Stegostoma tigrinum: one gene and its partners. The protein of the gene in region 1 interacts with the protein of each later gene in a pairwise test. Links are inferred from orthologs where the notes say so. Each region holds a gene or a part of one and is shown in the gene's direction. Other genes may lie near its edges.

The links.
Region 2: the proteins of lmo3 (region 1) and G patch domain-containing protein 2-like interact in binary tests that used the Homo sapiens proteins (3 or more experiments, as listed by UniProt). The link is inferred for Stegostoma tigrinum from reciprocal best matches to the Homo sapiens genes LMO3 and GPATCH2L.
Region 3: the proteins of lmo3 (region 1) and filamin-binding LIM protein 1-like interact in binary tests that used the Homo sapiens proteins (3 or more experiments, as listed by UniProt). The two-hybrid records come from large-scale screens. The link is inferred for Stegostoma tigrinum from reciprocal best matches to the Homo sapiens genes LMO3 and FBLIM1.
Region 4: the proteins of lmo3 (region 1) and bend7 interact in binary tests that used the Homo sapiens proteins (3 or more experiments, as listed by UniProt). The two-hybrid records come from large-scale screens. The link is inferred for Stegostoma tigrinum from reciprocal best matches to the Homo sapiens genes LMO3 and BEND7.

What each region holds. Positions count from the first base shown.
Region 1 is NC_081378.1:43,081,605-43,089,743, reverse strand, and holds the start of lmo3 (LIM domain only protein 3), read left to right. Parts: upstream 1-5,101; 5' UTR 5,102-5,112; coding exon 5,113-5,182; intron 5,183-5,393; exon of another isoform or gene 5,394-5,746; intron 5,747-5,810; exon of another isoform or gene 5,811-6,134; intron 6,135-6,167; exon of another isoform or gene 6,168-6,360; coding exon of another isoform or gene 6,361-6,376; intron 6,377-6,737; exon of another isoform or gene 6,738-6,936; coding exon of another isoform or gene 6,937-6,967; exon of another isoform or gene 6,968-6,991; coding exon of another isoform or gene 6,992-7,046; intron 7,047-7,937; exon of another isoform or gene 7,938-7,959; intron 7,960-8,139.
Region 2 is NC_081363.1:1,723,612-1,731,665, reverse strand, and holds the start of G patch domain-containing protein 2-like, read left to right. Parts: upstream 1-4,744; 5' UTR 4,745-5,053; intron 5,054-8,054.
Region 3 is NC_081381.1:31,882,678-31,890,907, forward strand, and holds the start of filamin-binding LIM protein 1-like, read left to right. Parts: upstream 1-4,891; 5' UTR 4,892-5,071; intron 5,072-8,230. UniProt on the Homo sapiens protein: Serves as an anchoring site for cell-ECM adhesion proteins and filamin-containing actin filaments. Is implicated in cell shape modulation (spreading) and motility.
Region 4 is NC_081378.1:4,517,603-4,524,916, forward strand, and holds the start of bend7 (BEN domain-containing protein 7), read left to right. Parts: upstream 1-4,235; 5' UTR 4,236-4,448; coding exon 4,449-4,509; intron 4,510-7,314. Other genes in the region: prpf18 (pre-mRNA-splicing factor 18), read right to left, coding at 2,862-2,927.

The sequences.
Region 1 (8,139 bases):
TGCTCTCTCATTACAGAGAGATGACTGATGATGGCTTAACCTGAGGATCACCACACCTCAGGTGAGGGGAAAGATTGAGAAGAAGCGTCCAACATTGTGACCTCGGCTTGTATGTGAATTCAACGCATGCTATTAGTGCCACTATGCATTGCAAACCATCCACCCAGAATGCCTCACTCTAGGTTCTGTATATTCCATTGTATCTTTTCTGTGCTCAATTGTAACAAAGCAGGGGCAAGGTCATGGGGAAACAAACTCCTCACAGTATTCAGGTCTCACTTAAATATTTTAATGAAGCTGCCTACCTCAGACACCCCCAGCTTTTATGTTGACCCCCCAGACAGATTTCCTAAGTTAGTAGAAACACAGAAAATTGGAGCGGGGCAGACTAGTTGGCTTTTTGATTCCATTCTGTCATTCAGTATGATCAAGGATGATCAGCCAATTAAGTACATTGTTCCTTCTTTCTCCAGATAGTCTTTGATCCCTTTCGCCCTCAGAACCATATCTGGCTCCTTTTTGAAAACAGTCAATATTTTGTCACAACCACTTTCTGTGGCAGAGAATTCCACAGGCTCAACACTCTCTGGGTGAAGAAATTTCTCCTCACTTCAGTCTTAAATGATCTATCCCATATCCTTAGAACGTGGCCCCTGGTTTTGGACTCCCCAATCATTGCAAACATTCATCCTGCATTTACTTTGTCTAGTCCTGTTTGAATGTTATAGTTTTCAATGAGAAATCACACACCACATTCTTCTAAACTCTAATGAACACAGTCCTAACCAATCCTGTCTCTCTTCAGTCTGAATTCAATTTAAAAAATCTGGAATTGAGAACCTAATGATGACCATGAATCGATTGTCAGGAAAAAACCCATCTGGTTCACTAATGTACTTTAGGGAAAGTAACTGCCATCCTTACCTGGTCTGGCCTACATGTGACTCCAGACTCCCAGCAATGTGGTTGACTCTGAACTGCCCTCTGGACAATAAATACCAGCAACATCTTCATTCTGTTAATGAATAAAATTTTTAAAAATACTTGAATCCTCATGCTATGAAGGCCAAGATACCATTTGCCTTCTTGATTACCCACTGTTCCTGCAGCCTGGAAAACATTAAAGGATCGAAACTTGAGAACTTAGAAAATAGGAATAGGCCATTCACCTCTTTGGGCCTGCTCCACCATTCAATATGATGAGCGCTAGAAATCTGGAAACTAATGGAGGGAAATCTTACTTGCTGAGGAATCAAACTTGTCTTTCCAGGAGGAACAGGAGTGCTCCCCTCCATCATAGAACTCCAGGAAAGCCTGTCTAATGATCCCCCCTTTCAATTAGAGGCCCTCACCCATGATGAAGCTGCCAATGGTCATTGCCCACATCACCCCCTACCCCAGAAATGTGAGCCCAATGTCTCTCTGACCCCTGCCCATTATATTACCCACCATCTCTATGCTGCTCCCTCCTTCTTGTCCTTCCAATGTCTTCCCCGTATGCAGGAAGCCAGCATAATTCTGCAATGCAGTCTCTGTTGCTGTATTCTGAACTTGACAGGGTGCTAAATACTGTATCAGTGATAATGGGAACTGCAGATGCTGGAGAATCCAAGATAATAAAATGTGACGCTGGATGAACACAGCAGGCCCAGCAGCATCTCAGGAGCACAAAAGCTGACATTTCGGGCCTAGACCCTTCATCAGAGAGAAGGGTCTGATGAAGGGTCTAGGCCCGAAACGTCAGCTTTTGTGCTCCTGAGATGCTGCTGGGCCTGCTGTGTTCATCCAGCCTCACATTTTATTATCAGGGAGCTAAATACTGTTGGCCACACTGACTATGGACATGTTTAAAAAAAGAGCTGTCAGATAGTGTTCCTCTCAGAGCTCCTGCCCACTCTTAGAAATTTCAACCCAGCAAACATCAGGTGGTTTGTATTCTTGTGGCTGTTTATATAGTGTGCATGTTTTGAAGATGCCACCCGTTTTGGAGAAGGCAAGGATTTTGCTTGCTGAAATGAGTGTAGCTAGGTTGTGATGATACAAGGCTTCAGACAAGCTCATCGTGGAACATTACACACGAAAATGGTTGAGTGTGGAAACCTTTCTAACATTATCTACGAAGTTAGGTGATGTTGGTCCCCTACTTCTGGCAGGGGCAGGACAATGCAGATCAATAAATGTCCTGAGATAGTAGGAACTGCCAATGCTGGAGAACAGCCCCGACTCGAAATGTCAAGCTTTCCTGCTCCTCTGATGCTGCTCTGCCTGCTGTGTTCATCCAGCTTCACACCGTGTTATCTCAATAAATGTCCTTATAGCTTCTCTCAGATCACCAAGCATAACTCAGTCACTGCATCTGTGCTAACCCAAAATGTGATTCCAAGTCTGCTCATCACCATACCTCCATGATGCGCAGGGAGTCTATTTACTTTGCATTGACCTTGAGCAGTTGTGCATTGCACATTTCCTAAGCCTCTTTGTACCTGAGTTGACCTCTTCTCCTCTTGCAACATTCCCGGCAGTCTTAGAACCTTGAAGCATACCTCCACATTATTCATTTCTCTTGTTGAAGTGGTGAAACTTTGAAATGTTTCTCTCTGTTATGTTCACTATAACCAGGAGGATTATATTCAGTCTTTGACAATCCTGCACAAAGGCTACATGGGTTCACCCACAATTACATTAAGGAGCCCTTAACAAACCATAACATTTAATTGCCCCTAATATTCTTAGTAAAAACCAAAAGAACTGCAGATGCTGTAAATCAGAAACAAAGACATAAATTACTGGAAAAGCTCAGCAGGTCTGACAGCTTCTGTGAAGAGAAACCAGAGTTAACATTTTAGGTTGAGTGACCCTTCCTCAGAGCCCTTCCTAATATTCTTAGAGTGCCTTGAACCCTCAGACCGGCAATAAATACAGACAAGTGTTCACTTTTGGCAAAGTACTGCTGCATTAGTGTGTATAGAATTTGTTTCCCTCATCTCGAAAATTCATTCCACCAATTTTGTGATGTGATGTGACCTTTGACTCCCTCGAGACCATCAAAGTTCCTTTGGCAAATTCTTTGTTTCAGAGGAGAAGTGCACAGTAAACCTTATCCATTAGTTAAAGGATTGTCAAAGCCAATCCACAATTCTACAGTACAGGAAATTTCTACCCTTTTAAGTGCAAAACCATAGTATTACCATTTCCCAAAGTGCTCTCTGTTTTAGGCTGCTTTCCTAATTAGCAGGATGATAACAGCGTTGCTGATTGGCATTATAAAAGCAGTAGTTTGGCTTCATCTGTCCCAGGTGTGCAGTATTTTTCCCTCACTGTTTCAGAGCAGCACCTCTCTCCTTCATTGCTCCTTAAAGTTCCTATCTGAGGAATTAAAACAGATTTTGAAAAAAGACATTAAAACAGAATTTCCCCTGCCACGGCTGATCATTAGTAGCTTTTATCAAAAAGTACAAACCATACAAAGTTAGTTTCTCTTCCCCTTTGTTATCAGAGTAGAATAAAAAGGAAGCAAAGGGGGAGAGGAAAAAAAGACGGAGCTCTGTCAGTGAACTGAATGTGCTATTAAATCTGGCGTCACTACAAAGGTTAGCAGATCTAACTGTCAATACTATGAGCGAGTGGAGTCCAGTAAGGGGGGCTTTGTGAGAAAGAGATACTTTGATATTTTGGAATGTTAGAAGGGTGAATGTGAAAAATTGGAGGTTGGGGATCTAATTACCCAACCGTAATTGGGGGCTGGGGAATAAGTTTCAGTCCTCTCAACTCACCACAGATCAATTATGTTAAGAGAACATCTGTAAGTAGAACTTAATGAGGTCCATTAGAGCAACATGTACAGCCTCCTCTAACAGTACTTGTCAGCTTCTTGGATGAGCTGAAGGAAGCTGCTAACTAGGGACCTGGTGAGGTGCTTAAATACTGGAGGAAAAGAAGCTGGCCCACTCAGGTTTTGTGCTCAGCTTGAGAAGAGAGAGACAGGTGGCCCTTTCATCCCTGCTGTCGCGGTTAGAAGGAACAACTAACTGGTTCTGCCATCATCCCCATGAAAAGAAATTTGCTCTCTCTCTGTCTTCCCCGGAATCAGAGTTTTATTTTCAGAAGAGGAAGAAACAGCCTAACACTTAATTCTTGCCTCAACAACACTGTTTAGTGTTTCTATTTGTGAATATAGGATTTCTGTTTGATCTCCTTTTGAGGAAAAGGAAAGAACTCAAAACAACGCATTAGTGCAAAGCAGTTTTTTAAAAAAGTGAAAACTTGACGGATCTTTTTCTTTGAAACCTGCTCAGCAGTGGTTTGAAATAAGGTGAGTTCTATCTATTACAGTCTTCTGTGTTGAATTTGATTTTAAAGGGTGCTTGTGAAATAGGGGATAAACTGCCTTAGTTGATGAATGGAAAGGTTGCAATATATTTTTGAGAATCAGTTTGGGCTGGAACATTTTTTTTAAATATAAGAAATAGCTACTTTGTTTTAGTTCTTTTTAAAAGGGGTTTCTTGAGAGTTTTCAATTTAGCACTTAATTTGCCCACAGTGAAAGAAAATGCTCGCCTACATTAAAACTCCCTTCTGGCTTGACAGAGGGAGTAAATGCAAAAATTTATGTTTGAAAATGAAAAGAAGGGAGGATTTTGTGGAGATTATGAATTAGTGTTTGTTTTTTTAATATGTGAATATCAATTGATGATTAAATTCCACCTCTTGTTCACCAAATCACTGTGCGTGTGTGTCCCCTAGTATTTCATTGCTAGTCATCACTGCTGATCACATCTGTGCAATGCACTAAGTGGTGGGCCTCTTCAACTGTATGGTTTGTGATGATTCTGTGAATAATTCATATGATTATGAAGAGAGGGGGGAAATGCTATTTTCTGTCTCTTCTGACTTAAAAAATTCCCTGAAAATTGCACGATTGGGAAGATAGTCCGCATTCAAATAATTTAATTCATGACAAAACCTAATTACTGTCAGGTAATACCCTGTCAGTTTTAATGCATTTCATCAGTCATAATGAAAAGAGGAGCATTTTATGACCCATCTTATTATCATTACATTTTGTGTAGTGGGTGGGGGTGGGAATGAGAGAAATGAGTAGCATGGAGCTGAATGTTAACTATTGATTCCTATGTGTTTTCTCTTCAAATGAAGTTGGGGCGTATTATTCACCTCCGAGGAGGTAAAAGTACAATATAGAACCGGGGTTTTGGACAGTTTCTCAGACGCGTGAGAAAATGGTTAAACGTCTGCAACTCGCTGGTGCTATTAAGAATCTATTGCTACAGTCTAAATAGAGTACTAATTACTGGGAAATGATGTCACTGTAGGCAGAAGAATAATCCTATCATTTAATTAGTTGAATGATTTAAACAAAGATTTGCATAGATGCCCTAATCATTTGCCATGAATTACAGAGCAGTCCTTGCAAACGAGGGATAGCAGATCATACAGATTTTTAAAAAAAAACTCATCTCCTTGAACATAATTAATTTAATTGTCCTCATTAGCTGTTCTATTTGTTTTGATTTTGTCTCACTCGCTGCTCTGTATGTGTGCATGTATTGGCTAACAAAAGGCGTTGATATCTCATAGTTGTAAAGGGCTAAACAGTAGAGAAGGTTTTTTTGTGAAACGGGGAGGGGGAACCACAACTCGGCTCTACTACACTTTTTTTGTGAAACGGTTAAATCAATAAGAAAGCTCTCATTAATCCGCAGTCTCTGAAACTGGACGCACTCAAGAGGTTGGTTTTCTAGCTTTTTTTATACACACCCCTCCCTGAGAACGGCTTGTGTGTGTGTGTGTGGTTCTGACTAACCAAAAGCTTGCGGCTGTTCCTAAATTTTCACCATGGGGAAATTAGCCATTGAGACAGGATTCATCCCAGGGCTATAGCTGGACTTGGGTCGACAGCAGAGTGTGTGCGTGTGGTAATATCGAAGTCTGGGGGAGCGCTGCCGTGTGCCTTGTCGAGTGTGTGTGTGCGCGTCTGTGTGTGTGTGTGGCGGCAGCCGCGCTACCTCGCTAATAATTGAATGACCTTTTACTGCATTGTGTGTCTCGCTGGCGAAGGATTGAATTTGCAGATGATGAGGCTGAATTCGTTTAGGACAATTCTTATAAGCTGATAGGTAAGTTGTCCTCCATCATTCGTCGCAGGGAAAGGTTACACTGCAGATACCCAGACGGAACACCTGTAGCTCCGTTGTGATCAACTCGATTACTGGCAGTTCCTTGGGGATCTCATTATCTTTAAAACTTTCTTTTAACGATTCAAGTGCATTCCGTGTGTTGACCTTGCGTTGGAAGAAAGTACACGCTGTATTCTGAACATATTTTGGAGAGGGTTTCTTTTTCATGTTGAATAGAGACGGTAAGTGGAAAGAGTATCCCTCTGGCTATTTCCCGGCTACTCTGGGCTGTGTTTTGCTTTTGTAGAGTGTGCGTTTTATATTTCTGAATGATTTGAACTTTCTGCGTTGTCACTGCGCCCTTCTGTAGGGGACTTATTTGTTTTTTTGAGGCTAAGGTAAGTTTCCTCTGGTTAGATATTTTCTGGGATTCTTGTTAATGGAAAAAAAATACAAAAAGTTTTTTTTTTGTGTGGGGGAGCTCTTGCCACTGCAAGGGGGGGGGGGTTACAAGTAAATTCCTTCCCCCACCCCCTACCAAAAAAGTGTGGGGCTGTCATTCCGCATTCACACTAACTGCCTCGAAGTGTCAGGCTGATGATTGGAAACGTGCGGTACGTTTGTAAAGCGTGTGTCTTTGTCGGTGTCAACAATGACCTGGCTCGGTGTACTCGCTCATCGTCGCCAGTTCACCCTGACGGGGAAGGAACCGGCTCTTCCAGCAAGAAACTGCTAGAGACCTGGTCACCCTACCAAGCACCCCCCCCCTCCCCCTCTTCTAAAAAAAAACGTACACACACCGATGCAAAAAAGGGGAGGAAAGTTATTTTATGGTAAGGCGGCGAACGTGATTCTCGATGCTATTGTATGTGTGTGTGTCTGCGATTCTGCACAAAGCCGAGTTCTTCAGAGGTTTGTGGAATAAGAATCTCTCTGCCTTTTCCACCTATACAAGCAGCGTGACGCCTTCTGTGACTTGCATGATTTTTTATTTTAGTGCTTTCTGAAGGATTCCTTTTTTCTGTCAAAAGTGTTGTCATCTGTAAATGGCTCTCTTCGCATTATTCAAACCATTCTTCTCGCGGGGTAGAGAAAGGGGGGGAGAAAAAGACATTAAATTGAGCATGTTAGCGATGAGAGTGGGCTTTTCTCTTTACTGTGTGTTTTGTATGCTGGCTGCATCAGAAATTGGGGTGGCCGTCGCAAAATCTCATTGGCCTTTGCCAAGCACCAGCACTTTGCTGCCATGGAAACTGTAATTAAACTGATAAGAGTGGAAAAATGTCAGTATCTCTTCAGCCTTACAGCTACATCTAAGAAGGGAGTGGGAATCAAATTGGTTCCGAGCTCCAGTTCTTTATAAAGAAATAGCTTTTTTTAAAAAAAGCCTGAACTGGGGACATTTATTTGCATTGTAATTCCGGAGGGTGGTTATCCGCAGGGGCGCTCTGGACCCATTGAACCAGGAGCGAGAGAGAAAGAAACGGCTTTAAGATTGATTCCAACGTTTATTATTCACCCACCCCTCAAAAATCTTTTGTTTGCCATCCATCAATGATATAATGAAACAGTGTTGGCAAAATTCTCTCCTTCTCATTTACCACCTTTTTTTTATTAAGCGGGACCAAAAACTTCCAATTTGCCAAATCTTTCCCTCAGTCTCTGTGTCTGTCTCTCTCTCTCTCTCTCTCTCTCTCTCTCTGCCCTCCCCTCCCCAGGGACAAATGAGTTAAGGATCGGTTTAGGAATCTGTTCTCTTTTTAAAACAAAACAATGGAGCGCAACATATTCCACGGAAGTGAAAGTCTTACTAATCTTGAGCATGGTAATGAGTTAGTCCCTGCTCCTCCCCTCTGGTCTAGCTCGGTTTTGTTTTTTTTGGCGGGGGGGAAGAGAATTAAGTGCCATTAGGGTAAAAGAGCAGAAGAAGGTGATGGTGAGGTCTGTTTACAATAAAATCTTAGCAATTGGAGTGAGCGCTATTTAAATGGACTGAGATCATTAA
Region 2 (8,054 bases), on another chromosome or scaffold:
AGCGACTGGGATAGAGAGAGAGACACAGGGCGACTGGGATAGAGAGAGGATGAGCACAACTGGGATAGAGAGAGAGAGAGCCCGACTGGGATAGAGAGTGAGAGAGAGACTGGGATAGAGAGAGAGAGAGAGAGAGAGAGAGAGAGAGAGAGACTGGGATAGAGAGAGAGAGAGACTGGGTTAGAGATAGAGATAGAGAGAGACTGGGGTAGAGAGAGAGGGAGCGCAACTGGGATAGAGAGAGAGAGAGAGAGGGACTGGGATAGAGAGAGAGAGGGACTGGGATAGAGAGAGAGAGAGACTGGGATAGAGAGAGAGGGGATGAGCGCAACTGAGAGAGAGAGAGGATGAGCGCTACTGGGATAGAGAGAGAGAGAGAGAGCGCGCGACTGTGATAGAGAGAGAGAGAGAGAGAGAGACTGGGATAGAGAGAGAGACAGCGACTGGGATAGAGTGAGAGAGCGAGAGCGACTGGGATAGAGAGAGAGACAGCGACTGGGATAGAGTGAGAGAGCGAGAGCGACTGGGATAGAGAGAGAGAGAGAGAGAGACTGGGGTAGAGGGATAGAGAGAGAGAGAGACTGGGATAGAGGGATAGAGAGAGAGAGAGAGCGACTGGGATAGAGAGAGAGACACAGAGGGCGACTGGGATAGAGAGAGGATGAGCGCAACTGAGAGAGAGAGAGAGGATGAGCGCTACTGGGATAGAGAGAGAGAGAGCCCGACTGGGATAGAGAGCGAGAGAGAGAGAGAGAGCGCGACTGGAATAGAGAGAGAGAGAGAGACTGGGATAGAGAGAGAGAGAGAGACTGGGATAGAGAGAGAGAGAGACTGGGTTAGAGAGAGAGACTGGGGTAGAGAGAGAGGGAGCGCAACTGGGATAGAGAGAGAGAGAGGGACTGGGATAGAGAGAGAGAGAGACTGGGATAGAGAGAGGATGAGCGCTACTGGGATAGAGAGAGAGAGAGAGAGAGAGAGCGCGACTGTGATAGAGAGAGAGAGAGAGAGAGACTGGGATAGAGAGAGAGACAGAGCGACTGTGATAGAGATAGTGAGAGCGCGACTGGCATAGAGAGAGAGACAGCGACTGGGATAGAGTGAGAGAGCGAGAGCGACTGGGATAGAGAGAGAGACACAGAGGGCGAATGGGAGAGAGAGAGAGAGAGACTGGGATAGAGAGAGAGAGAGCGCGCGACTGGGATAGAGAGAGAGAGAGCGCGACTGGGATAGAGAGAGAGAGCGAGTGACTGTGATACAGAGAGAGAGACTGGGATAGAGAGAGAGAGAGCGCGACTGGGATAGAGAGAGAGAGACAGCGCGACTGGGATAGAGAGAGAGAGCGTGACTGGGATAGAGAGAGAGAGAGAGAACGCGACTGTGATAGAGAGAGAGAGTGCGACTGGCATAGAGAGAGAGACAGAGCGACTGTGATAGAGAGAGAGAGAGAGAGACTGGGGTAGAGGGATAGAGAGAGAGAGAGACTGGGATAGAGGGATAGAGAGAGAGAGAGAGAGACTGGGGTAGAGGGATAGAGAGAGAGAGAGACTGGGATAGAGGGATAGAGAGAGAGAGAGAGCGACTGGGATAGAGAGAGAGAGACAGGGCAACTGGGATAGAGAGAGAGAGAGAGAGCGTGACTGGGATAGAGAGAGAGAGAGAACGTGTGCGCCTGGGATAGAGAGAGAGAGAGCATGCCTGGAATAGAGACTGAGAGAGAGAGCGCGTGACTGGAATAGAGAGAGAGAGCGAGAGCGACTGGGATAGAGTCAGAGAGCGAGAGCGACTGGGATAGAGAGAGAGAGAGAGAGAGAGACTGGGATATAGAGAGAGAGAGAGAGCGTGACTGGGATAGAGACTGAGAGAGAGAGCGCGTGACTGGAATAGAGAGAGAGAGAGAGAGCGACTGGGATAGAGTCAGAGAGCGAGAGCGACTGGGATAGAGAGAGAGAGAGACTGGGGTAGAGAGAGAGAGTGAGAGCGACGGATAGAGAGAGAGAGCGCGACTGGGATAGAGAGAGAGAGAGAACGCGACTGTGATAGAGAGAGAGAGAGAGAGACTGGGATAGAGAGAGAGACAGAGCGACTGTGATAGAGTTAGTGAGAGTGCGACTGGCATAGAGAGAGAGACAGCGACTGGGATAGAGTGAGAGAGCGAGAGCGACTGGGATAGAGAGAGAGAGAGACTGGGGTAGAGGGATAGAGAGAGAGAGAGACTGGGATAGAGGGATAGAGAGAGAGAGAGAGCGCGACTGGGATAGAGAGAGAGACACAGAGGGCGACTGGGATAGAGAGAGTGAGAGAGAGAGAGAGACTGGGATATAGAGATTGTGAGAGAGCGTGACTGGATTAGAGAGAGAGAGAGAGAGCGAATGGGATAGAGAGAGCGCGCGACTGGGATAGAGAGAGAGAGAGAGAGAGAGCGTGACTGGGATAGAGGGAGAGAGAGCGCGCGACTGGGATAGAGAGAGAGAGAGCACGACTGGGATAGAGAGAGAGAGCGAGTGACTGTGATACAGAGAGAGAGACTGGGATAGAGAGAGAGAGAGAGCGCGACTGGGATAGAGAGAGAGAGACAGCGCGACTGGGATAGAGAGAGAGAGAGAGCGCGTGCGCCTGGGATAGAGAGAGAGAGAGCGTGCCTGGAATAGAGACTGAGAGAGAGAGCGCGCGACTGGAATAGAGAGAGCGAGAGAGAGAGAGAGAGAGCGACTGGGATAGAGCCAGAGAGCGAGAGCGACTGGGATAGAGAGAGAGAGAGAGAGAGACTGGGATATAGAGAGAGAGAGAGAGAGAGCGTGACTGGGATAGAGAGAGAGGGAGAGAGCGAATGGGATAGAGAGAGAGCGCGACTGGGATAGAGAGAGAGAGAGAGACTGGGATAGAGAGAGAGAGAGAGAGAGAGAGACTGGGATAGAGAGAGAGAGAGACAGCAACTGGGATAGAGTGAGAGAGCGAGAGCGACTGGGATATAGAGAGAGAGAGAGGGAGACTGGTGTAGAGGTATAGAGAGAGAGAGAGAGACTGGGATAGAGAGAGAGAGAGAGAGCGCGTGCGCCTGGGATAGAGAGAGAGAGAGAGCGTGCCTGGAATAGAGACTGAGAGAGAGAGCGCGCGACTGGAATAGAGAGAGCGAGAGAGTGAGAGAGAGAGCGACTGAGATAGAGTCAGAGAGCGAGAGCGACTGGGATAGAGAGAGAGAGACTGAGATATAGAGAGAGAGAGAGAGCGTGACTGGGATAGAGAGAGAGGGTGAGAGCGAATGGGATAGAGAGAGAGCGCGACTGGGATAGAGAGAGAGAGACTGGGATATAGAGAGAGAGAGAGAGCGTGACTGGGATAGAGAGAGAGGGAGAGAGCGAATGGGATAGAGAGAGAGCGCGACTGGGATAGAGAGAGAGAGAGAGAGAGAGAGAGACTGGGATAGAGAGAGAGAGAGTGAGAGCGACTGGGATAGAGAGAGAGAACGCGACTGGGATAGAGAGAGAGAGAGTACGCGACTGTGATAGAGAGAGAGAGAGAGACTGGGATAGAGAGAGAGACAGAGCGACTGTGATAGAGTTAGTGAGAGCGCGACTGGCATAGAGAGAGAGACAGAGCGACTGTGATAGAGTTAGTGAGAGCGCGACTGGCATAGAGAGAGAGACAGAGCGACTGTGATAGAGTTAGTGAGAGTGTGACTGGCATAGAGAGAGAGACAGCGACTGGGATAGAGTGAGAGAGCGAGAGCGACTGGGATAGAGAGAGAGAGAGAGAGACTGGGGTCGAGGGATAGAGAGAGAGAGAGAGAGACTGGGATAGAGGGATAGAGAGAGAGAGAGAGCGACTGGGATAGAGAGAGAGACACAGAGGGCGACTGGGATAGAGAGAGGATGAGCGCAACTGAGAGAGAGAGAGAGGATGAGCGCTACTGGGATAGAGAGAGAGAGAGCCCGACTGGGATAGAGAGCGAGAGAGAGCGCGACTGGAATAGAGAGTGAGAGAGAGACTGGGATAGAGAGAGAGAGAGAGAGAGACTGGGATAGAGAGAGAGAGAGAGTGGGTTAGAGAGAGAGATAGAGAGAGACTGGGGTAGAGAGAGAGGGAGCGCAACTGGGATAGAGAGAGAGAGAGGGACTGGGATAGAGAGAGAGAGAGACTGGGATAGAGAGAGAGGGGATGAGCGCAACTGAGAGAGAGAGAGGATGAACGCTACTGGGATAGAGAGAGAGAGAGAGAGAGCGCGACTGCGATAGAGAGAGAGAGAGAGACTGGGATAGAGAGAGAGACAGAGCGACTGTGATAGAGATAGTGAGAGCGCGAGTGGCATAGAGAGAGAGACAGCGACTAGGATAGAGTGAGAGAGCGAGAGCGACTGGGATAGAGAGAGAGAGAGAGACTGGGGTAGAGGGATAGAGAGAGAGAGAGACTGGGATAGAGAGAGAGAGAGAGAGAGAGCGACTGGGATAGAGAGAGAGACACAGAGGGCGACTGGGATAGATAGAGGATGAGCGCAACTGAGAGAGAGAGAGAGAGAGAGGATGAGCGCTACTGGGATAGAGAGAGAGAGAGCGCGACTGGGATAGAGAGTGAGAGAGAGACTGGGATAGAGGGATAGAGAGAGAGAGAGAGAGAGAGAGACACTGGGATAGAGAGAGAGAGAGACTGGGGTAGAGAGAGAGGGAGCGCGACTGGGATAGAGAGAGAGAGAGAGAGAGAGAGAGAGAGAGCGCGACTGGGATAGAGAGAGAGACTGGGTTAGAGAGAGAGAGAGAGAGAGAGACTGGGATAGAGAGAGAGAGAGAGAGAGTGCGACTGGGATAGAGAGAGAGAGAGAAAGACTGGGTTAGAGAGAGAGAGAGACAGAGAGACAGAGAGAGAGACTGGGATAGGGAGAGAGAGAGAGAGTGACTGTGATAGCAAGGGAAAGGGAGATTGGGATAGTGAGAGAGAGAGGGTGATTGGGATAGAGAGAGAGAGAGACTGGGATCGATATAGATAGAGAGAGAGCATTTGTGAAGGAAAAAAACCGAGTTAATGTTTTGAGTCCGGTGACGCTTCGTCAGAACTGCTACAGGCAAGCTGGCTGGTTTTTTCTTCCTGATTTACACCATCCGCAGTTCTTTCAGTTTTTATTAAGTAGTTGGGCATGTTGGGAGAGTCGGCAATGGGGAAAGGCGTTGGGAATCTGATGCACAAGGGGGCTTGGGAGTCTCCATTCAGGATTCTCTTAAGGTTAATGTGTGGGTTTTGATTTAATTTATTGTCACGTATCGAGGTACAGTGCAAAGTGCTGTTTAGTGCGCGATATATCCAGATCGTTCCGTACCAAGTGCATCAGGCTGCCAGAACAGAGTGCAGAATACAGTATGACAGTCACAGATAAAGTGCAGAGAGAACGAGATCAGAACTAACATTGGAGATATTCGTTTAAAAGCCTGCTATCACCAAGGCAGAAGCTGTTCTTGATCTGTTTATACGTGTATTCAAATTTTTATACCTCCTGCCCAATGGAAGAGGGTGGCAGAAACTATAACCAGGGTGGGAGGGATCTTTGATTAAGTGGGCTGTTTACCTGGGGCAGTGCGGAAATATAGGCGGCGTTAGTGTAAGGAAGGCTGGTTTGTGTGCAGGTCTGGGCTGTGTTCACAACTCTCTAGTTTCTTGTAGTTTTAGGAAGAGCAGTTGCTGTACAAAGTCTTGATGCATCCTGATGGACGCTTTCTCTGGTGCATCGATGAAAATCGAGAACTTTGAAGACATGCTGCCATGAATGTATAAGGAGTACAGTAGGGAACCAGTGTTGAGGACCATTGTGGAGGAGGTGTTTTTGTTTATCCTTGCTGATTGTGGCCTGTGGATCAGGAAGTTGAGGATCCAGTTAGAGGGGGGAGCTGGGAACTAGGTCTTGGAGGGTAGAGATGAGTTTGTTTGGAATTATGATGTTGAAGGCAGGGCTGTACTCAACGAGCAGGTGCCTGACACAGGAGTCTTTGTTATCCAGATGTTCCAGGGATGAGTGCAGGGCCAGAGAAATGGCATCCTCTGTGGATCTGTTATGTTGGTAGGCAGACTGTAGGGGATTGAGGCAGGTTGAGAGCTTGGACTTGATGGTGGCCATGACCAGCATCTCAAAGCACCTCATGTTTATTGAAGTCAGAGCTATTGGACGTTAGTCATTAAGGCACACTGCATGTGCTTTCTCTAGTACGGGGATGGTGGTCTTCTTGAAGCAGGTGGGCACTTCGGCTTGTAGGAGGGAGAAGTTGAAGATGTCCAGGAATGCGCAGGATCTGAATGCTTGACCGGGGACACCAACTGGGCCCATCATTTTCCTTGGGTTGACTCTCAGGAAGACTGATCTGACTTCTGAAGAGCGATAGACAGAACAGGTGTGCCTCAGGCTGTTGGGGCAGGAGTTGCCATGCTGGTGGTATTCTGCTCAAACGGAGCATAGAAAGCATTGAGCATGTCAGGGAGGGATGCATCGTTGTCCGCTATCTTATGCTGTTTCATTTTGTATCCCGTAAAGTCGTTCAAGTTTTGCCATAGACATCAGGGATCTGTTTGGCAGGTCTGGGCCTCTGACTTGGTCTGGCACTGCTTCTTGGCCTCCCTGATGGCTTTGCGGAGGTCATATCTGGATTTCCAGTATTGGTCTAGGTCACCCGACTTGAATGCTGCATGCCTGGTCTTCAGTAGGGAGTTGATTTCCTGGTTCATCCAAGGTTTCCAGTTGGGGAACACTCTGATTGACTTCTTTGGTACAACTTCCTCAGGGAAATGTCCCCGGCCCATCCATTTTCAGCTGCTTCATCAGTGACCTTCCCTCCGTCATAAGGTCAGAAGTGGGGATGTTCGCTGATGATTGCACAATGTTCAGCACCATTCATGACTCCTCAGGTACTGAAGCAGTCCATGTTCAAAAGGAGCATGATCTGGACAATATCCAGGCTTGGGATGGCAAGGGGAAAGTGATATTCACGCCACACAACTGCCAGGCTATGACCATCACCAATAAGAGACCATCTGATCACCGCTCCTTGACATTCTATAGTGTTACCATCACTGAATCCCCCACCATCAACATCCTGGGGGTTACCATTGACCAGAAACTCAACTGGACTCACCACATTAACACAGGGGCGGCAAGAACAGGCCAGAAGCTGGGAACCCTGCCGGGAGTAACTCACCTCCTGACTCCCCAAAGCCTGTCCACCATCTACAAGGCACAAGTCAGGAGTGTGATGGAATACTCCCCACTTGCCTGGATGGGTGCAGCCCCAACAACACTCAAGAAGCTTGACACCTTCCAGGATAAAGCAGCCGCTTGATTGGCACCACATCCACAAACATCCCACTCCCCCCACCACCGACACTCAGCAGCAGTTTGTACCATCTACAGGATGCACTGCAGAAATTCACCAAAGATCCTCACAGCACCTTCAAAATGCACGACCGCTTCCATCCAGAAGGGCAAGGGCATCAGACATATGGGAATACCACCCCCTCCAAGTCACCCACCATCCTGACTTGGAATTATATCGCTTGGAGCAGTTTACATGGTGTAAGCCTTGCCACATTGGCAAAGTCCATGAGGTTGGTCTAGGTCTCAAGCTGAATTTAGTATTGCCTCTTGGCGTCTCTGCTGTCTTTGTGAATGCCATTCCTGGGTTTCCTGTATAGGCTGGGGTTGCCCAACTTGTACACCTCCGATCTGCACTTCAGCAGGGAGCGAAGCTCCTGGTTCATCCAGGGTTTTTGGTTGGAGAAGGTTAGAACTAACTTCTTCCACATGCTGTCTTCTACACATTTACTAATGAAGTCTATAACAGGAGGGGCGTGCTCCTTTAGACTTGTTGCTACGTTTATGAAAATGGACTCGAAGCAGTTCCATAGAAGCCCTTCCATTACCTCACAATAGCACAGCACTACTTTCTGTACTGGGCCCTCGCACTTCAGTTTCTGTCTGTCAGCCGGGAGGAAGTGCACAGCATTGTGATCGATTGATGGAGTGGTTGGTGCCTTCGGTTGTACAGAAGTGGTCGAGGATATTGGGATCTCTGGTGGGACAGTGG
Region 3 (8,230 bases), on another chromosome or scaffold:
GAACAGGCAATGACATCACCAACGCAGGAAATGACATCACCAGCCCAAGGAAACCTAGCCAGATAAATAGAAAGCCGGACATAACACCAGTGCTTTGTTGGAGGCTCACTGATGATGTTACCTAGAATGGTGACGAAACGTCTGAAAATGAACCTTCCAGCTCAGCAAGCAAACTCACATCCAGATCCTTGATAAGGGTATATCACATCAGTGCAACAGCAAGCATTGCCCACAGTTAGAGAACGCATTGAAGGGCAGACAATGAAAGGGGCTGCACAATAACAATGTCACAGAACACAATCAATTCTAGGCAAAACAACCAAAGAAATGTGGATGCTGGAAATTAGAAACAAAAGCAGAAATTGCCTGAAAAACTCAGCAGGTCTGACAGCATCTGTGGAGACAAAGCAGAGTTACCATTTTGGATGACTTCAGAGTAGGATATAGAGGCTGCATAGTTAAACATAAACATTTGTCAGTGTTGCAAGCTGCAACCCTTGTACAAGGTTGTATTAAGATGTTGGTTCTAGATGGAAAAGTGACACTGAGATGATCAACCCCAAGTGGTGGTACAGATTCACTGGGTTGAATGGCCTCCTGTTCCTATATGCAGCTGGAACTAGCAGATTGGATATTAATAGTTATTTAGTGAGAAAGCCTCCAATGTCCCCATCAGCATAAACTAATTTCATTTGGCCTTCCTTGAGCTCAAGTCTGCTCCAAGGAGGGGTTTAGGAGCCTTATGTCTATTTATAGCCAAGAGAACATACACATATAATAAATGTCAGTGAGCTGCTGAGTACTGTTGCTTCTTTTGTGTTTTAATTGTGAACCTTAGCAGATATGCAAGGCAATAACACAATGGGACAAGTAGTGCTACATCAGTAGTGACAATAAGTGACAGACATTCATTAGGTGCTACGTCTCCACTGGATGCCCGATCTGTAGTGTGACATTCACCTGCTACAGTGATCTTACTATGCTAACTCTCACTCTCAATGGCATGAAGCATTGAGTAGATAGTGGCACAAATCTTGGGACGTCACAGTACATCATTCATGCTTACTTAGCATTGGAGTCACGTTCTTGAGCCACTTATGGGCACTAACTTCCACAGCCATCTTTGTCCAGAATGTATTGAGCCTTGAGATGCCATTCCTAACCCTAACCCTAACCCTAACCTTTCTCTGCTGGACCGCTTTCAAGAGAACCTATTGATAGGTATTGCTAATGTGTGCTACCATTATTTGCCTGGATTCTGACATCTCTCAGAGTCATTGGAGTGATGAGAAGTTGAGTCACACTCATCCGTTGCAGAGAATAAAATGCTATCCAGGTGCCTTTTAAACATGGTATCCGGACTTTGAGACAAGACGACACACTGGGGAGGGGGACTGGAATCCTCCTGCCCCTAAAAATAGGAGCTTTACCCATGCATGCATAAATTATGAGCTGAGAAGAATGTAAATCGCACCCAAAAACCTGATCCAGCCCTGAGCAGAGGCAGAAGCAAGCACAGCCTTTGAAGAAGGGGAGATAAAGAAAGAAACAGAAGTCAGTCAGGCCTGGCAAAAGCTGAAAAGATTGGTCAGGCTTTCATCAATGTAGCATTTTGACCTGATTTGAAAGACAGAAACATGAAGACAGGGAAAGCCTTACTCGTTGTAGATTACACATAATAGGTCACATTCATTTAGATGAGGCCTAACCCTGAAAACATACAGACTGATCTTCAAAATCCTGAGCAGGCCGGGTGGAACAGATCCAAGGAAACTGTTCCCACTTGTAAAAGGAATAAGAACAAGAGACCTGGATTTAAAGAGATCTGCAAAAGAATTAAGGCTAAAGTGGAAAATATACCTTTTTTCCCCCATAGCAAGTAGTTAGGACATGGAAATGCACTATCCACAATTGTGGCGAAGACAGGATCAATTGAGACATTCAAGAAGGCATAGGATGATTATGTGGATAAAAGTAATCTACAAAGGTGTGGGTTAAAGTGTAGGAAATTGGCACTAGATCCAATTGGCACTGTGTCCAATTTTGGGCCCCATACCTCAGGAAGGACATACTGGCCCTGGAGCGTGTCCAGCGGAAATTCACACGGATGATCCCTGGAATGGTAGGTTTAACGTATGATGAACGGCTAAGGATTGTGGGATTGTACTTATTAGAGCTTAGAAGGTTGAGGGGAGATCTAATAGAAACTTACAAGATAATGTATGGTTTAGAAGGGGTGGACACCAGGAAGTTGCTTCCGTTAGGCGGGGAGACTAGGACCCGTGGGCACAGCCTTAAAATTAGAGGGCGTAAATTTAAAACTGAAATGAGACGACATTTCTTAAGCCAGAGAGTGGTGGGCTTGTGGAATTCATTGCCATGGAGTGCAGTGGAGGCCGGGACATTAGATGCCTTCAAGGCAGAGATCGACAAATTCTTGATCTCAGAAGGAATCAAGGGCTATGGGGAGAGTGCAGGGAAGTGGAGTTGAAATGCCCGTCAGCCATGATTTAAATGGCAGGGTGGATTTGATGGGCCGAATGGCCTTACTTCCACTCCTATGTCTTATGGTTTTATGGTAATGACTCTTAATAAGTGTTGCAGGCACAACAGGCCAAATGGCCTCCTTCAGCACTGTAAACCTTCTGATTCATAGGAGGCCAAGCCAGTGGGCTCACATTGCTGCCATTTTTCTCCAAATCATTCGATTAATATAATATTCACATAGAGGCACTAAAGACCAGCATGTACAATCCAAGTCAGATTGCAGGCAGTAGCGATGCTATTTTTGCACCCTCTGCCCACCAGCTACAGAGCTCACTGAATTCCAGACAAGACAAACAGATGAGATTCCAAAACACTTTCAGTTAAAAAAAACCAAAAACTTCATCAGGGATGTTCAAACTATTAGGTGCAAAACAGGTTAACAGGTGCAAAACAAACCAAATTTGAGAACCTGCAGCCAGTGGCAGCTCTTTACAATTGGAACCAGCCAGCCTGTTGTAAGGTTGTAGCACACACCACTCTGGGCACCAGCATCAGCCTGGCATTTGGTCTACCAACGGGAGGGGCACTGCCACGCACCAGGCTTCAGGAAACAGCTCAGGATCTCCTGCGATGCACAATGCAAGCTGCAGCTACTCTGGCCCAGGAGCACATTTTCAACAGACTTGTCTCTGTACCTTTGCCACTGGAATGCATGAATAGGACTTGGGGAACTTTCTATATCACAATCTCCTGTTTCTGTTCATTTATAGAGGTGGGTGGCTGCTGTGTGTTGGTGGGGGAATATGGTGAGAACGCTGATAAGAGCTTGGACAGATGGCTCAGACAGCCTAGTCAGAAAATTGGAGATGGCCATTCTAATACCTTTCTTATTCCTTGCTGATTATCTTAAATGTAGCAAAATAAAGTTATTCAGGGGTCATTTTGACTTTGTGAGGGTGTGAACAAAGCAATGATGAACTTTGCTAGCCCATTTTACATTTCTGCTCACCTCACTTCCACTTAAGAAATCAGGAGAGATGTAAAACAAGATGGTGGAACTTGAATTCAATACATTTTTTTAAAAATCTAGAATTACAAGTCTAATGATGACCATGAAACCATTGTCGATGGTCAGAAAAACCCATTTTGTTCACTCATGTTTTTTTGGGTAAAGGAAACGGTCATCCTTATTTGGTCTGGCCTAAGGGATACTCCAGACCCACTGCAATGTGGCTGATTCTTAACTGCCCTCTGGGCAATTAGGGATGGGTAATGAATGGTGGCCTAGCCAGTGATGCTCTCATCCCATGTTTGAATGAAAAGAAAAATCAATTACGCAGGAACTGGTGTAAGCCACTCAGACCTTCAGATTTGCTCTGTCATTTGCTAAGATCATGACTGATGTAAATGCACCTTCTGCTCCTCTTTCCTTCCTATGTCAACACCCTTTGGGAGATTCTGAACTAATAAGGAAGTCAATCTTAAAAATATTCAAAAGACCCAACCTCCATCACTCTGTGGGGAAGTAAATTCCCTAGAACTATCAAATCCCATCAGTGAAAACCAAACTAAGACACTTTTCTTTGTGAAGAGAGTTTATTAACTACATAGTCTCATAGCTCCTACTACATTGCTAGTCTCCACCTGTTCCTCCTTTAGGTATTCATGAGCAAAGCCTATTAAGGGCAATGCAAACCATCAAAAGTGGAAGGGGGGGGGGCCCTCTGGGAGACCAGAAACATTATAATTCAAAACAGAGTTGGAGGGGAAAATAAAGCACCATATCCCCTGCAATACCCACCTCTCTCTGAAGGAATTGACAGCATTGATGGAAACCAGCTCTCCAATGACAGTCAGGCAAAACATAACAGCAGGAGGGAGTAGACAGTCAGCAGAGATGACCCCCCCCCCACCGCGATAAGTCTTGACTTTGGAAATTTATCAAAAAACTATGGTCAGTTTTAAAACAAAAAGCTGGCAAGTAAGTGCTTCCAGAATGCAAAGGGTTAACAATGTTTCTCGTTGTAACCCCAGCTGTTAGCTAATTTAAAGGAAAGGGGTTCTGGGGGGTGGGTGGAAGGTTTCTTTTCAAATAGTTTAGCTCTAATTTTTCCTCCCCTCTAAATAAAATTAACCACACAAGACTAAATTGGGAAAGGAAAAATTCTTACATAATAATCTAATAAAGTTGATGTAGTTTGCAAGCCTAGCAGCAGAACAGGCTGCTTCTTGTCAGTCATGTCATTTGCCAACCAACTTCCAAAGAAATTAATCTTATCTTAGAATTACTTTATTATATATACACACATATGACAGCAGTGTGTGACTGGATGGAAACAAGTCTGTAAGGAGTGGGTAGATTAAGGAGCAACTTCCTGTTTGCTGCACTAATGCCCCAGGAATTCATTTTCCTTTTATGGTAAAGTAAAGCAGAGGTAGGCGGACAGAATTCTCCGGGTACGGGAGTGAAACGATCAGAAGCAATTTGGACTCGCTGCAGTTTAAGCTCCAGGCTCTGAAAGAGATATGCTAGTGGAACAAAACCAATGAGACAATACCTTCAGATGGTAAAACTCCTCCTTTGGTAAGTGTTCCAGGAAAATCTGAATGGGATGGGTTTCTAGATATCAACTTTTAGTCAGTTGGATACCTTAGTTATGTGCAGCAGCACTTTCAGGAAATCATGGGCACTCATAATGGCTGTAAACAGCTCTTTTATAAAAATGTGTATGTTTCACTTTTGTTCCTGTGATATTGTACCCTCCTGTTGCAGAATGTGGTGTTTGTTGAAATAAAGCACACTAGAACCTAGTCCGCCTTCTCCGTATGGTTACAGGTATTCCTCATGCGTGAGACCAAATAGTGAGTGTTGCTATACAGGGCCTTTACCCCAGCTGATCATGCATTTTGCAGCTGAAGTCACTGGGCTGTGATGAAGGGTGGGAATCCTGCTGATTTATTTCCCTTACCCATTGCACCAGTCCAATTACAACCTTTCACTACCACTCCAGTAACAGCACAAACCTGGATTTTGGCCTGGAACACACCTAATCTCTCTGTACTATGCAGGTTGGGGCATATTCTTCTAAATAATTTAGTAGCTCTGTTGTCTGTAGTTACCTTGCACTGTAGAAATTTCAGCAAGTTCCAAGTTCACAATTCCACAGTCTTTTGTTAGTCCATTCTATTGACTCTGTTCCCCTTTTGTTGACAATAGTAAGAACCATAAAGCACAAAATGTTGGATTTAAGAGGTTTTTTTTCTGTATCAAGGTCTGCCATTACAACTATGACCTTCAAATTGATCACATATTGGAGAGGGAATCAAACAAGCAGGGTGTGGGGCTCATTCAATTTGGGTTCTCATGTCCACAAGAATGGTATTTAATTATTGATCATTTTTTCTATGTCTTTTAAACTATCTGAACCAATGCTGCAAATATATGGTGCAATTTATGGTGCCACGACAATCCAGTTTACAGTTTCATTCACTTTATTGCTGAGTCTTTCTAGAAGTCAAAGGTTCCTTGATGTAGTTCATACCTAAGTAACAGTTGAGACCAATCTGAAAGGACACACCCTTTCCCAGAAAACTATTTGTATTCAGCTCATTAGGGAGATACTCAATTGCTACCAAACAAAATATATTCCAGAAAAGAAATATTGTAAGGGCTGGTGGGGGAGGGAGAAAACTGAAGGCTAAGCAAGGAACTTAAAGATAAAATCAAGACAAAAGTGAAGGTGTATCGTATTGCCAAAGTGAGTGGCAGGCTGGGAGATTGGGAAACTTTTAAAGATCAACAAAGGATAACCAAAAAAGTAATAAAAAGAGCAAATGTAAATTATGTAGGAAAACTAGCATAAAGCCTTCTAGAAGTATATAAAAGGGAAGAGAGTAGTTGGAGTGAATGTTGGTCCTTTGGAGGATTAGACTGGATGGTAAATAGTGGGGAACACAGAAATGGCAGAGTCACTAAATTAATACTTTGTTTCAGTTTTCATAATGGGGACGCTGGTACAATCCCAATAGTGATAGGTATTGCAGAGGTTCTGAAAAGAGAGGAATAATTAGGGGAAAAAGTACTGAGTAAACTATTTGGGATTGAAGGCAAATAAGTCACAGGGCCTGACTGACTTTTTTTTAATCCATTCATGGCACGTGGGCAATGGCAAAGCAGTAACAAGATGTAGAGTTAGATGAACACAGCAGGCCAAGCAGCATCAGAAGAGCAGGAAAATTGATATTTCCGGCCTAGCCCCTTCAGAAATGGTTAGGCATTATTTGTTGCCAGGCCCTAGTTGCTCTTGAGAAGGTGGTGGTGAGCTGCCTTCATGAACTGCTGCTGTCGGTTGACCTACAATGCCTTTGGGGTGGGAATTCCAAGATTTTGACCCTGTGACAACAAAGCAATGGCAAAGTATTTCCAAGTTATAATGGTGAGTGGCTTGGAGGGAACTTGTGGGTGGTGGTGCTCCCAGGTATATGCTGTCCTAGTCCTTTCAGATGGAAGTGATTGTGGGTTTGGAATGTGCAATCTGAGGAACTTTGGATAACAATAATCTTTGAATTTCTGAAGTGCATTTGTAGATAATACACAATGCTGCTACTAAGCATTCGTGGTGGAGGGAGTGGATATTTTGTGCATGTGGTACCTATGAAGCAGGATGCTTTGTTCTGGATAATGTCAATTGGTGTTATTGGAGCTGCACCAATCCAGACAAGTGGGGAGTATTCCATCACACTCCTGATTTGTGCCTTTGAGATGGTGAACAGGCTTTGGGAAGTCAGGTGATCGGTTACTCACTACAGTATTTCTGGCTCTGAGCTGCTTTTGTTGCCATCGTGTTTATGTGATGGTTCCGATTGAGTTTCTGGTCAATGGTAACCTTGAGAATGTTGACAGTGATGGTAACACCATTGAATTCAAGGGAAGTGGTTAGATCATTTATTTTTGGTGATGATCACAGCTTAATGTTTGTGCGGCATGGATGTAATTTGCCACTGTCAGCCCAAGCCTGGATATCATCCAGATCTTGTTGCATTTGAACATGGACTGTTTCAGTATCTGAGGAGTCATGAACGGTCCTCAACATTGTGCAATTATAAGCGAACATCCCAGGGTCTTAATGGAAGTGACAGCAGATATTATAGATCCATTGGTTATAATATTCCAAAATTCTCTGAATGCAGAAAAGCCTCTAGTGGATTCGAAAAATTGTTAGTATAGCATCCTTATTCAAAACTGGAGGGAGGCAGAAAGTAGGAAACTACAGACTAGTCAGTTTAATGTGTCATTAGGAACTTGCTATATCCCATTATTATGGGAGTAATAAATAACAGGATATTTGGAAGGTAAAAATACATTCCATCAGAGACAGCATGGTTTTATGAAGGGAATTATGTTTGACTAATTTGCAGGAGTTCATTGAAGATGTAATAATATAGATAACGAGGATCTTGTAGAGGTCGTCTATTTGGACTTCCAGAAGCCTTTTGATAGACACTGCACAGAAGCTTACATACACAAGATTAGACTACATGGGGTGAGGAATAATTTAGTCATTTGGATAGAGGATTAGTTAACCAACAAAGCAGTGAGTTGGGATAAATGGATATTTTTCTGGTTGACAATATGTAATTAGTTATATGCCACAGTATTTGGTCCTCAGGCCCCAACATTTTACAATCTATACATTTAATGACTTTTACACAGGAATAGGAAGTACTATAGTTTCATCTGCAA
Region 4 (7,314 bases), about 39 Mb from region 1:
ACCGCTTTGCAGAACACCTCCGCTCAGTTCGCAACAAACAACTGCACCTCCCAGTCGCAAACCATTTCCACTCCCCCTCCCATTCTCTTTATGACATGTCCATCATGGGCCTCCTGCACTGCCACAATGATGCCACCCGAAGGTTGCAGGAACAGCAACTCATATTCCGCCTGGGAACCCTGCAGCCATATGGTATCAATGTGGACTTCACCAGTTTCAAAATCTCCCCTTCCCCTACTGCATCCCTAAACCAGCCCAGTTCATCCCCTCCCCCCACTGCACCACACAACCAGCCCAGCTCTTCCCCCCCACCCACTGCATCCCAAAACCAGTCCAACCTGTCTCTGCCTCCCTAACCGGTTCTTCCTCTCACCCATCCCTTCCTCCCACCCCAAGCCGCACCCCCAGCTACCTACTAACCTCATCCCACCTCCTTGACCTGTCCGTCTTCCCTGGACTGACCTATCCCCTCCCTACCTCCCCACCTACACCCTCTCCACCTATCTTCTTTACTCTCCATCTTCGGTCCGCCTCCCCCTCTCTCCCTGTTTATTCCAGTTCCCTCCCCCCATCCCCCACTCTGATGAAGGGTCTAGGCCCGAAACGTCAGCTTTTGTGCTCCTGAGATGCTGCTTGGCCTGCTGTGTTCATCCAGCCTCACGTTTTATTGCTTAATATGTAATCCCCCTTGTCCCCACAACGCATCATCCTCCGACACTTCCGCCACCTGCAGTCCGACCCCACCACCCAAGAAATTTTTCCATCCCCACCCTTCTCTGCTTTCCAGAGAGACCACTCTCTCCGTGACTCCCTTGTCCGCTCCACACTCCCCTCCAACCCCACCACACCAGGCACCTTTCCCTACAACCGCAGGAAGTGCTACACTTGCCCCCACACCTCCTCCCTCACCCCCATCCCAAGCCAAGATGACTTTCCACATTAAGCAGATGTTCACCTGCACGTCTGCCAAAGTGGTATACTGTATCCACTTTGCCCGGTGTGGCTTCCTCTACATTGGGGAAACCAAGTGGAGGCTTGGGGACCACTTTGCAGAACACCTCCGCTCGGTTTGCAATAAGCAACTGTACCGGGTGGCACGGTGGCTGAGTGGTTAGCACTGTAGCCTCACAGTGCCAGGGACCCGGGTTCAATTCCAGCCTTAGGGGACTGTCTGTGTGGAGTTTGCACGTTCTTTCCGTGTCTGCATGGGTCTCCTCCCACAGTCCAAAGATGTGCAGGTCAGGTGGATTGGCTGTGCTAAATTGCCCATAGTGTTCAGGGGTGTGTGGGTTATTTGGGGATGGGTCTGGGTGGGATGTTCCAAGGGGTGGTGTGGACTTGTCGGGCCAAAGGGCTTGTTTCGACACTGTAGGGAATCTAATCTGAAAACCTCCCAGTCGCAAACCATTTTAACCCCCCCCTCCCATTCCTCAGACGACATGTCCATCATGGGCCTCCTGCAGTGCCACAGTGATGCCACCCGAAGGTTGCAGGAACAGCAACTCATATTCCGCTTGGGAACCCTGCGGCCCAATGATATCAATGTGGATTTCACTAGCTTCAAAATCTCCCCTCCCCCACTGCAACCCAAAACCAGCCCAGTTCGTACCCTCCTCCCTAACCTGTTCTTCCTCTCACCTATCCCCTCCTCCCACCTCAAGTTGCACCTCCTTTTCCCAACTACCAACCTCATCCCGCCTCCTTGACCTATCCCCTCCCCAACTATACTCTCCTCTCCACCTATCTTCTTTTCTCTCCATTTTCAGTCCGCCTCCCCCTCTCTCCCTATTTATTCCAGAAGCCTCTCCCCATCCCCCTCTCTGGAGGAGGATCTAGGCCCGAAACGTCAGCTTTTGTGCTCCTGAGATACTGCTTGGCCTGCTGTGTTCATCCAGCTCCACACTTTGTTGTCTCATATTCAAGACTGTGATTTGAAATTAGGGCAGAACTCAATTCTCCACCCCAACGAACCACACATGCCAGCATCGCACATGCCTCCCCCGCTGACCCCCAAAATCAGCGCAACTACACCCTGACCATCAAACTTAGCGCTCTCTCCCTCACCCCTGGGGACCAGCTCTCCCACTTCTGGCGTCTGCTCACTCCCGGGGCCGGCTCTCTCTCTACCTCCCCCCAACCCCGGGGGCCTGCTCTTCACCTCACACCCCCCCAGGGGCCTGCTTTCCAGCCTTGCCCCTACTTCTCCTCACACCCCACCCCTTCCCCTCAACGTCCCCCTCCATGCCTCCTGAGGGCTGGCAACGTCCCCCGCCATCCTCTCACCCCTCCCACAGGGAATGGCTCTCCCACCCCCTTACCCTCACCTCCGGGGCCAGGTGTCCTCTCCCTCTCCCCCTCCCCACTGGGGCCAGGTGTCCTCCTCCCTCCTCTCTCACCCCCACCCCCCTGGGGGCCAGCTATACCCCCACCTCTCCCTCACCCCCCCGGGGCCGGTTGTCTCCTCCCCGCCCCCACCCCCAGGGGCCGGCTGTTCTCCCTCACCCCCCGGGGCCCGGCTGTTCTCCTCCCCCTCCCCCCGGGGCCGGCTGTTCTCCTCCCCCCGGGGCCGGCTGTTCTCCTCCCCCTCCCCAGGGCCGGCTGTTCTCCTCCCCCTCCCCACCCCCACGGGGCCGGCTGTTCTCCTCCCCCTCCCCACCCCCCCGGGGCCGGCTGTTCTCCTCCCCCTCCCCACCCCCCCGGGGCCGGCTGTTCTCCTCCCCCTCCCCACCCCCACGGGGCCGGCTGTTCTCCTCCCCACCCCCACGGGGCCCGGCTGTTCTCCTCCTCCTCCTCCCCTTCCCCACCCCCCGGGGCCGGCTGTTCTCCTCCCCCACCCCCCGGGGCCGGCTGTTCTCCCTCACCCCCGGGGCCCGGCTTTCCTCCAGGAGCCGTCGTTTCCTCTCGATCTCCGCCTTCAGCTGCTCCATCCGCGCGGCCGCCGCCACAACAACGTCGTCACGTCCGGGTCAGAGGGCGAGGCGCCGGAAACCCGCCGCCGCACCACAGCGACGGCGCGGCCTAGCCGTCGATTAGACCAAATCCGCCCTCACCTTCCCCCCCCCCGAAGTAATCCAAGCCGCGGAACACCGCCAAATAACTTCAAAAGGATTCGCACATTTAAATAACTATAGACCCTATACTAAAAGTAAATATTTCATAAATAATTTTATATTACTCCACGTTTTAACAAATCATAAGAATTGGTAACTCCATTTCTCTGTCCAGAGCAGCTCCTGTTTATATTTTATTGCCTTTGAGAAGCTGCTTCCTTGAACCACAGCAATCCGTTTTCAATGGATGCAACTCTCTGAGAATCCATTCCCAAAGTTTGCTATCAACTGAGGATAAACTGGTTTTCCAGTTTCTCCTTCCCTCGTTTTAAACTTTTAGAAGACACAATTCCAAACTGTCGAGAGTTTAGGAGCAATTTATGAATAATCCATCTGCAATATCCTTATCTACTGTTTTTAAAAGCATGCAATGGGAACCATCAGATATGGAGATTTGCCGCACAATTCCTCAGACAGTACTGACTTCAGGGGTGGAGGATGTAGTGTTTCCCTCATGCAGAAAGGAGTCTCCCCCTTGGTGGAATGTCCTCCCCTGTTACACGAGGAGCGCGCCCATTAGGGAGCATGGAGTGTCCCCCTCGTGGAGGATGTAGTCTCTCCCCGGCGGAGTGTCCCCCTCGTGGAGGATGTAGTCTCTCCCCGGCGGAGTGTCCCCCTCGTGGAGGATGTAGTCTCTCCCCGGCGGAGTGTCCCCCTCGTGGAGGATGTAGTCTCTCCCCGGCGGAGTGTCCCCCTCGTGGAGGATGTAGTCTCTCCCCGGCGGAGTGTCCCCCTCGTGGAGGATGTAGTCTCTCCCCGGCGGAGTGTCCCCCTCGTGGAGGATGTAGTCTCTCCCCGGCGGAGTGTCCCCCTCGTGGAGGATGTAGTCTCTCCCCGGCGGAGTGTCCCCCTCGTGGAGGATGTAGTCTCTCCCCGGCGGAGTGTCCCCCTCGTGGAGGATGTAGTCTCTCCCCGGTGGAGCGTCCCCCTGGCGGAGTGTGAAGTGTCTCCCCGGTGGAGCGTCCCCCTGGCGGAGTGTGAAGTGTCTCCCTGGCGGAGCGTCCCCCTGGCGGAGTGTGAAGTGTCTCCCTGGCGGAGGGTCCCCCTGGCGGAGTGTGCAGTGTCTCCCTGGCGGAGTGTAAAGTGTCTCCCTGGCGGAGTGTAAAGTGTCCCCCTGGCGGAGTGTGCAGTGTCCCCCTGGCGGAGTGTGAAGTGTCTCCCGGATGAAGGGTCCCCCCCGGGTGGAGTCCTTTTCCTCCTGAGGGCGGTCGGCGGTCGGTCGCGGCTCCCTCTCCCGCTGATTGCCGGCGCCTGGTCTCCGGGAAAGTGAAGCGGCGGCTCGGGCAGACGGTGGGGTGAGCCGGTCCCCGGACGAGTGTGGGAGTTGCGGCGGGATCGATGGAAGTCACCGAGTGGAAAAGGAGCAGGAAAACGCGGAGCTTTAGGAGAGCGAATGAAGGTGAGAGAGCGCGGCCTGGACCAACATTAAACCATTTACCAAGGAAACAGTAACCAACAAGCCCATTAACCAGGGAAACATAACCCAGCCGCACCATCAACCTGGGGAACAATAACCAGCAAAGCCATTAACTACCGAAACATCAAGCAGTAAAATCCTTAACCAGAAAAACATTAACCAAAAAAAAACCCGCCAACCTGGGAACATAGCGAGATAAATCTTTAACCAGGGGAATACTAACCAGCATAAGTCACCAACTAGTTATCACAGATTGAGGAAGGGGACATCTAAATTTGAAATTAGATTTATTGCAGAAGTTAGGAGCTTCCTTTTTCTAATAGTAACTGGGATCTGGTTTTGTGATCGTTTTCAGCAGTTTGCGCCTTTGCCTGTGCTAATCTTCACTGTACCTCACTCAATTTCTACTGTGGGTGTGAAGCAAACTCAATTTCCCGAGGAATGAGCTTAATATCGCAGCTTGAGCAGCCACCAGACAGAGAGGCTCTGATTGAGGATTTATTACAATCCCTGAGTCAATCAAAATGTGAATTCTTCCTGATTAAAATTACATCTGGAAAACACCACAAATCAGTGGTAAAGGTGAACTCAAGGTATTTGGGCAGGTATGTGAATAGGAAAGGTTTAGAGGGATATGGGCCAACTGTAGGCAGATGGGACTAGGTCAGTTTATGAACCCTTGTCAGGATTGGATGAGTGAGACCAAAGTGTCCATTTCTGAACTTTTAACCTGGCTTTTAAACACAGGTTGACGGAACGCACAAACCAGATTCTGTACTTGACAAGAACTATTTGTTTATTACAAGTAAATATAATTACTGTTTATTAATGTAAGTAGATTTGAACTACAGAAACAATTATGAACCATCAACAGATCACTCTACCAGTTAAAATTCAAATGCATTTGTAAACTCCCCTCGTCACATGTACAGAGACAAACAAACAGAGACAAAAAATGGTGTTATGGATGGAAGGAAAGACTGGCAGGTGGTTCATAGTCATAGAGGTGTACAGCATGGAAACAGAACTTTTGGTCCACTTGGCCGTACCAACCAGATACCCTAAATAATCTAGTCCCATTTGCCAGCATTTGGCCCAAATCCCTCTGAAACCCTTTCTATCCATGTACCCATCCAGTTGCCTTTTAAATAATTTACAATTGTACCAGCCTCCTCCACTTCCTCTGGCAGCTCATTTCTAGACAGGGACCACCCTCTATGTGGAAAAGGTTGCCCCTTAGGTCCCTTTTAAATCTTTCCTGTCTCCCCTTAAACCAATTCTCTTTAGTTCTGGATTCCCCTACTCTGGGGAAAAGAGCTTGGCTATTCACCCTACCAATGCCCCTCATGATTATACATATGGTTATAAGGTCATCCCTCAGTATCCGATGCTCCAGGGACAATAGCCCCAGCCCATTCAGTCTCTCCCTATAGCTCAATCCCTCCAAACCTGGCAACATCCTGGCTCAAGATAATAAAATGTGAGGCTGGATGAACACAGCAGGCCCAGCAGCATCTCAGGAGCACAAAAGCTGACGTTTTGGGCCTAGACGCTTCATCAGAGAGGGGGATGGGGTGAGGGTTCTGGAATAAATAGGGAGACAGGGGGAGGCGGATCGAAGATGGAGAGAAAAGAAGATAGGTAGGGAGGGGATAGGTCAGTCCAGGGAAGACGGACAGGTCAAGGAGGTGAGGATGAGGTTAGTAGGTAGGAGCTGGAGGTGTGCCTTGGGGTGGGAGGAAGGGATGCGTGAGAGGAAGAACAGGTTAGGGAGGCAGAGACAGGTTGGACTGGTTTTGGGATGCAGTGGGTGGAGGGGAAGAGCTGGGCTGGTTGTGTGGTGCAGTGGGGGGAGGGGACGAACTGGACTGGTTTAGGGATGCGGTGGGGGAAGGGAAGATTTTGAAGCTGGTGAAGTGCACATTGATACCATTGGGCTGCAGGGTTCCCAAGCGGAATATGAGTTGCTGTTCCTGCAACCTTCGGGTGGCATCATTGTGGCACTGCAGGAGGCTCATGATGGACATGTCATCTAAAGAATGGGAGGGGGAGTGGAAATGGTTTGCGACTGGGAGGTGCAGTTGTTTGTTGTGAACTGAGCGGAGGTGTTCTGAAAGCTGTCCCCAAGCCTCCGCTTGGTTTCCCCAATGTAGAGGAAGCCACACCGGGCACAGTGGATACAGTTTACCACATTGTCAGATGTGCAGGTGAACCTCTGCTTAATATGGACAGTCATCTTGGGGCCTGGGATAGGGGTGAGGGAGGAGGTGTGGGGACAAGTGTAGCATTTCCTGCGGTTGCAGGGGAAGGTGCCGGGTGTGGTGGGGTTGGAGGGCAGTGTGGAGCGAACAAGGGAGTCACGGAGAGAGTGGTCTCTCCGGAAAGCAGACAAGGGTGGGGATGGAAAAATGTCTTGGGTGGTGGGTTCGGATTGTAGATGGCGGAAACCTGGTTCAGAGGTCTCTCAGCAGGGTTTGCTGTGCTGATCCTTTTACTGATCAGAAAGGTGCTTTTTAATCTTCTTTCTCCAGGTACTTCCGCTTGGTTGCAGGAGTCACAGGGTGAGTGGTTCAACTTATAAATATTGCTGACTTATTAATTAAAGGTTGCAGCTTACAGCAATGGTTAAGGGGAAATAAACAGCCTGAGATGGTTTTACTGCATAACAAAAACAGCTCTTTCCTGCCCATAAGTGCGATGGCTTCTGACCCAACTATTCACGCTTTCATGCTGTTCAGCTACCTGGGAACTAAGCATGGAGGCAGGCTGGAATGCTCTGTCATTGAT